2 linked regions of the Xenopus tropicalis genome follow. The protein of the gene in region 1 interacts with the protein of each later gene in a pairwise test. Links are inferred from orthologs where the notes say so. Each region holds a gene or a part of one and is shown in the gene's direction. Other genes may lie near its edges. The genes, in order: cnksr1 and cyth3.

Region 1 (3,829 bases):
CACACATAGGCAGGGGAGGGCAGGCAGAGTATGGCACACACAGGCAGGGTAGGGCAAGCAGTACTCTGCCTGCTGTATGCCTCCCTTATGCTGCTGTGTGTGCCTTTCTTTTCGTATGTTGCCTGTGTGTTCCTTACTCTGCCTGCCCTATGCTGCCCATGTGTGCCATACTCTCCCTGCCCTATGCTGCCTGTGGGAGGTGAACCTGGTTTGTTCTGGGAGTTTGTTAGCAGTTTGAAATAGTCATTACATGGTCCCTAAAGTGTGTAATTATATGCTGGTGGTTGCTGTGCTATCCACAGAAGAGGAGGAGGCATATGGATTTAAGTGTATGTCTTAATATGACATAATATAATTCTTTCACATATGAATGAAGGGTAATATCCCTTCAGTGAGCACCAACCATTGGGTTTTTGCTGTGTTGCCACCATTAATGTGGGGATGGTCTTAAAAGCTCTTGTGATAACATGGGTGCGGTTTAAAAAAGGGGAGTGGTCAAAACTGGCTTCCATTATCGGCCCTCCACCATGTAGGCCAGAAAAATTCCGGCCCTCGGTACCACAGAAGTTGGACAGCACTGCTCTAGAGGAATATGAGGTGGTGGGTCGTGATAGAGGAACCCAAAAGGTTTGGGTTGCATGGGTATCTGTAATTTAAGTGGCTTATGATTACTGCCTTTGGGAAGCAGTTAAACAACTTTGTAATGGCCAGCCACCCTTTACATTAATACTGGGCTATATTGTATGCAATAATGTAATAACATAGTTGTAGCACAACATTTTTTGTTAAGCACATCAAAGGTGCCCTAGGCTTGGAGATTTCTTGGAGATGCCTTATGGGTTTTGCAGAGTTTCTTCATTTTTCATTACAGGTGGGTGACCAGTCTTCTAGCTGCACTAAACATACATAAAACAGCATCTTCTGCTACTCAAGCACACGAAGAAGGTATTTGTGTCCTGATATTGTAAAGACATCTGTATATATGGCTATGGTTTTATATTTCTTGTTAGAGAAACATAATTGCTGTTCTTAGTAAAGGCTAGTTTGTGCAGCCTCATGCTGCTGTTGTTAGATATACAGTGGTGTGAAAAACTATTTCTGATTTCTAATCCTGATTTCTTATTCTTTTGCATGTTTGTCACACTTAAATGTTTCTGCTCATCAAAAACCGTTAACTATTAGTCAAAGATAACATAATTGAACACAAAATGCAGTTTTTAAATGAAGGTTTACGTTATTAAGGGAGAAAAAAACTCCAAATCTACATGGCACCTGTTTCAATCAAGAAATCACTTAAATAGGAGCTACCTGACACAGAGAAGTAGACCAAAAGCACCTCAAAAGCTAGACATCATGCCAAGATCCAAAGAAATTGAGGAACAAATGAGAACAAAAGTAATTGAGATCTATCAGTCTGGTAAAGGTTATAAAGCCATTTCTAAAGCTTTGGGACTCCAGCGAACCACAGTGAGAGCCATTATCCACAAATGGCAAAAACATGGAACAGTGGTGAACCTTCCCAGGATTGGCCGGCCGACCAAAATTACCCCAAGGGCGCAGAGACAACTCATCCGAGAGGCCACAAAAGACCCCAGGACAACATCTAAAGAACTGCAGGCCTCACTTGCCTTAATTAAGGTCAGTGTTCACGACTCCACAAGAAAGAGACTGGTCATAAACGGCCTGCATGGCAGATTTCCAAGGCGCAAACCACTTTTAAGCAAAAAGAACATTATGGCTTGTCTCAATTTTGCTAAAAAACATCTCAATGATTGCCAAGACTTTTGGGAAAATACCTTGTGGACCGACGAGACAAAAGTTGAACTTTTTGGAAGGTGCGTGTCCCGTTACATCTGGCGTAAAAGTAACACAGCATTTCAGAAAAAGAACATCATACCAACAGTAAAATATGGTGGTGGTAGTGTGATGGTCTGGGGTTGTTTTGCTGCTTCAGGACTTGTAAGGCTTGCTGTGATAGATGGAACCATGAATTCTACTGTCTACCAAAAAATCCTGAAGGAGAATGTCTGGCCATCTGGCCAACTCAAGCTGAAGCGATCTTGGGTGCTGCAGCAGGACAATGACCCAAAACACACCAGCAAATCCACCTCTGAATGGCTGAAGAAAAACAAAATGAAGACTTTGGAGTGGCCTAGTCAAAGTCCTGACCTGAATCCTATTGAGATGTTGTGGCATGACCTTAAAAAGGCGGTTCATGCTAGAAAACCCTCAAATTAAGCTGAATTACAACAATTCTGCAAAGATGAGTGGGCCAAAATTCTTCCAGAGCGCTGTAAAAGACTCGTTGCAAGTTATCGCAAACGCTTGATTGCAGTTATTGCTGCTAAGGGTGGCCCAACCAGTTATTAGGTTCAATTACTTTTTCACACAGGGTTTGGATTTTTTTTCTCCCTAAATAATAAAAACCCTCATTTAAAAACTGCATTTTGTGTTTACTTGTGTTATCTTTGACTAATAGTTAAATGTGTTTGATGATCAGAAACATTTTATGTGACAAACATGCAAAAGAATAAGAAATCAGGAAAGGGGCAAATAGTTTTTCACACCACTATATACCGTATTTTTCGGACCATAAGACGCACCGGACCATAAGACGCACCAGTTTTTAGAGAAGGGAAATGAAGAAAAAAAGATTCTGAAACAAATACTGTCCTAAAATATTTTATGTGCATTAAAAGCGAACCTGTACCAGCAGCACCCAACATATTGCCCCCCACCTGTACCAGCAGCACCCAACATATTGCCCCCATCTGTACCAGCATATAGCCTACAGATATACTTTAAAAAAATGTTTTTACTTGCCCGTGTGGTCTCCGTGCAGGGCCCTCCTCTATTCACCGGCGCTTAGCTGTGGCGCTGTGCGCATGCACAATGACGCACATGCGTTGTGCATGCGCACAGAGCCACAGCTAAGCGCCGGTGAATAGAGGAGGGCCCTGCACGGAGACCACACGGGCAAGTAAAAACATTTTTTTAAAGTATATTCGGACCATAAGACGCAGGGACTTTTCCCCCCCACTTCTGGGGGAAAAAAAGTGCGTCTTATGGTCCGAAAAATACGGTATATATATATACATAAAGAAAAATGTCGGCACTCACAGGGTTTCCATATAAAGGCAAAAAATAAACAGCTTTTAAATACAAACGGTGATGTTTATTCTTTCCAACGTTTCATACACGGACTTTCGTCAGGGAAACCCTGTGAGTGCCGACATTTTTCTTTATGTATCTAAAACCTCTAGCTCGAGCACCCAGGTATTGGAATTTTGAAGGTGTGCTCCCCAATCCTACACTTATATATATATATATACATCTAAGAAGCTGGCACTCACGTTTAAGTCCAAAAAATCATGCCTGGGTGCAGTACCGGAATATGGAATATACAAAATAATGCTGGAAGGAACCGCTCTCACAGGTCTTAGTCATCCATAAAGAACTTTATTGAGATAGGCACGACAACTATATCTATCTATCTATATCTATAAAAATATATATATTTTTTTTTTAGACTGTTACAGTGAAACTGAGGCTGAAGATCTGGATGAAGATCACTCAAAAACACAGGAGGTGGTAAGAGAACAGTACAATTGCTCATTTTATCTTCAACCCATGCTACTAATTGTCCCAGCTCTACTTTTATACCACCCTTCCAATTTCAAACTTTGTATGTCAGGTAAAGACTCCACTGACACATGTACAGAGCCAGAATATCTCAAGTTCACCAACAACCAGTGAAGAAAGCAACACTTCTGAAAGTGGGCAAATTCTGAAAGAAAGTGATGTTCAACCTGCAAGTAAGCAACTTTGT
Region 2 (3,829 bases), on another chromosome or scaffold:
GTTGCACTTTGCTGCACCATGGTTAGGGGACAAAATTCTCACAATTGCCGTTTTCTTGGCAATCTTTTAAAATTCAGTCTGCAGTGTTAGAAAATGAAACACACTTGAATGGTTGAGCCCTGGCATATGATAGGCATAGCCATAAAAGTGCAGTAAAGTGCAACCCCACCCAGCTGAGTGAGGATGCCGGGCGTTGCACTTCTGTAGCTGAAAGGCTCTCCTTTGATATGCTGGCTTAATGATTGCTGGAAAGCAAATATTTGGCAAAAAAAATGACACACAGGCTACTACAAACAAATCCAAATTAAAGTTCAGAAGAAGCCACACAAGGACTATTAAAGGAAAGGTGCCTGTTTGTGAGAAACTCAGGCCCCCCTTGTAGTACATAGTGTGCAAATAGTGGTGTATGTACATGGCCAGCCTGCATTATTGAAGGTGTTCTAATGAGATGGCTCTTTGTTTTTTAGGTGGAAGAGTTAAAACTTGGAAGCGCAGGTGGTTTATCCTGACTGATAACTGTCTCTATTATTTTGAATACACAACAGTAAGTATGAAGGTTAAACCCTGTGAAGCAGACATGTAATAAATGGCACGAAGGGCCACATGGGTAGAATTATTTGAGTTTGGCTATGGGGGAGTACACTTCACAGAGGTTACTTAACACCTTGAACCATTTTAATGCCCACTACGACAGCCACCATCATGCCTTGCAAGACTTCCCAGTTTCCCTTAGGGTACATTGGAACCTAGAAACTGAAGCACTGAAGTTTGGTCCTTGATAGACAGCACCATGGATTTTATATTCTGGGGCTAGAAAATGGCTCATCAGCCATTTCTTTACAGACTAAGGGACTAACCATTGGTCATATTCTTTTCACTGAAGCGGTACCTGTTTTCCATGCTGAAATGATTTGTCCAGCTCCCAAAATAGTTTTCTGGATTATTAATCCCTGTATGCATTTTTCATTGGGATTAACCAGGGCTTTGGGCATTAGGTCTCAGTGCTGCTGCTGAACTCAGGGCCAGGGCAAGATCTCCTCTTAGATTGTACTACCCTCAGAAAACACAGAAATGATTGTTGTAGAGCTAAATTAAAATAACAGGGTCTTCCTTTTCTGGGGTTTGCTTCATGCAAAAGTTAAAGCAGATAAAAGGACTGATGGTCTGTACCACCTTAGTGGTATGATAAAGGGCAGCACAAGTCTGGTGGGGGTGGGGGCAGCCTCGGCTAGTAAACCACTGGTGGGCCCTGGAACACTAATGTGATTGGCTTCTCATAGCATGCAGACTAATTGACGTGTCATCAGCATTGATAAATGCATCTTTTTTTTCTTCCTGCCAGTCATTAAGGTTTTGATCAATTGGAATTAAAATAATGCTTCTGGGTTCCCCAGATCAGCCTTAAATAAATAAACCCCATGAAAAGTATAAAAACATAAAAGCTTATGTGGTTCTGTTCACCTAAAATGGAGGAATATAACTTTGATCTGACATCTAAAGAAGCAGCATAGTGTTGCTAGTGGGTTGTGGGACAGTAGCCAGATTGTGGTCACTCATGGAAATTATATTCTTGGGTTTTGTTTGAAAACAGGCAAAATACAGCATTGATATTGCAAGCGCCCCCCCCCCCCCCCCCCCCCCCCCCCCACACACACACAGCCCCCTTTCTTCACAACAGAGCAAGCAGGTGCTGAAATTCTATCCTAACTTACAAAAGCCGACCCTCTGTTCTTTTAAACTGTGTGACAAATTGCATGTCATAGACTGCCATTAATTGCTCTCTGTGTATATCATAACTTTAAGGTCAGTAATAACATTTATGGGCCCAGTTGGTAGCCCCCTCCCTTTACTGCCCAGATCTGAAGGCCACACAGAGCACCTGCCCAATACTCTGCAGTGTGTTCATGTAATGAAGCCATCAAACAGGGCTAAAAGTTTCGCAAGGAAACTCTGTTATAAAACCAGAGATGGGAACATTGGACAGTTCTACACTACATGCAATTTTGCATGGAAATTTGGGCTTACTCTTTGCACTTTGTCTTTTTCGTTTACCTACAACACCTCTGCCTCATTTTGGGGACATTATGCCTTTGAATTGGCTTTAATGCTTACACAAATGAGAACCCCTAGCCTTCCAGGAAGAAAAAAAATTGTTCTCTTTGTTCTGTGTAATTCAGTGGTACCCAAAAAAATGGTCCCCATTGTTGTTAATTTTATACTGGGTCACAAAACCAAATCTCAGACTTAATTAAGTGATCTAATGGGTGAGGATACAATTGTAATTCACATGTTTTGTTCTTACTTTGTTGGTTATTAAAAGTGGTTAATTTTATTCCACAAGAGTAGCCTGTTTGCAGAGAGCTCTTTACATTTCCCCAGAATCTCCCATCTATATTCAGTGGGTGAATATAGATGGAAGATTCTCATTAGTGTCTTATAACAAACGTCATTGTGTCCGGCCTGATGGGGGTGTTATTGATTCCTGCTACAGCAACAGATGCCTCCAGTGTATATGCACTCAATCATGTCTGCATTCCAATCAGGCTCCTTACAACTGGATGCCTGTGATTTAATAATGGCATTGGCTTCATCAGTTTTGTAATATATTGGCTTGGCTGACACACCCAGGGTAACACCACATATAGGTAATGCCTTGACTGCTTTCTCTGTATTTTTCTTTGCCACCTTTCCTACTACACCCCCCATCCTTAATTTTAGCTGGAGCACAGACACGCCATGATTCATATGGCATGGATGCCTCTCCATTATAACTCAGGGGGGTAAGGCAACGTAGAAATCAAGAAAAAAGGTGGGAATGGCACAAAAGAAGGCATTCCTTCGGTGGTGACCTGACAGAATCAGATACTGCACAGATACAAATCTTTTCTGGGATAGACTCACCAGGCAGTTTTGAAATATGGCCAATGATATCCAGATTTCCCCATATATAAATAAATAACAAATATTTAAATGATGTATAGGAATCTTTATCCTGGCTTTTTCTCTTATATATGAGCATCTGGTGGGAGATTATTACCATAATCCCTTTTACAACAAGTCCAGTGTTGGAATGCCAGCCCTAGGGGGATTATTTTTCCTTTAAAGGACAAGTCAACCCAGAATATAATGTTTTGCCTAATAAAAGAAAACCAAATTCTTAGTAACTTTGCAATATACATTAATTACAAATTTGTAATGTTTTTGAGTTATTTGTATATATACACAGACCCCAATGGATGATCCACTCAGCATGTGGATGAACAAATTGGTCCCAGATCTGCTTGTTTGGCAGCCTCACCAAATGAATGGATCTGGCCACCTTAAGACTTGAATTACTAATATGTATAGGTGGTGTATACTTGTGTTAAAGTGTTAATCTTTTAAGCACTTTTGGCTGGTTCCTAAGCTGTCTGTGCTTTAAATCTGGTACATTTGTGTGCCTGCTAAACAAGAGATTTGTCTGTGTGTATTGGTTCATTCCGCAGCCATGGGCTACCTAAATATCTGACTTTTACTTTGGTATATATGCTTTCAAAATGTTCCACTAACTCTGCACAATGTGTATAAAATAAAAATGTTGCTTTTTAATCTGTATAATTTTGGGGGTTCGGTGAGACTTTCTCCTTTTGTACACTTTTCCTTTTCAGAAGATTTTTCCTTTGACAATCTCATCTGCTGTATCTCTGTCTACCCCTAGTGGTTAGTAAAGTAGTTGCACTACGTTCCTTCTGTTTCTCCTCATTAAGATTTTATCTTTTGATCAACAGGATAAAGAACCAAGAGGTATAATTCCTTTGGAAAACCTTAGTATTAGAGAAGTTGAAGATCC

What was found.
Region 2: the proteins of cnksr1 (region 1) and cyth3 interact in binary tests that used the Homo sapiens proteins (3 or more experiments, as listed by UniProt). The two-hybrid records come from large-scale screens. The link is inferred for Xenopus tropicalis from reciprocal best matches to the Homo sapiens genes CNKSR1 and CYTH3.

Annotation. Positions count from the first base shown.
Region 1 is NC_030678.2:76,996,385-77,000,213, forward strand, and holds part of cnksr1 (connector enhancer of kinase suppressor of ras 1), read left to right. Parts: intron 1-871; coding exon 872-945; intron 946-3,529; coding exon 3,530-3,591; intron 3,592-3,694; coding exon 3,695-3,815; intron 3,816-3,829. UniProt on the Homo sapiens protein: May function as an adapter protein or regulator of Ras signaling pathways.
Region 2 is NC_030685.2:25,420,520-25,424,348, forward strand, and holds part of cyth3 (cytohesin-3), read left to right. Parts: intron 1-467; coding exon 468-544; intron 545-3,767; coding exon 3,768-3,829. UniProt on the Homo sapiens protein: Promotes guanine-nucleotide exchange on ARF1 and ARF6. Promotes the activation of ARF factors through replacement of GDP with GTP. Plays a role in the epithelial polarization.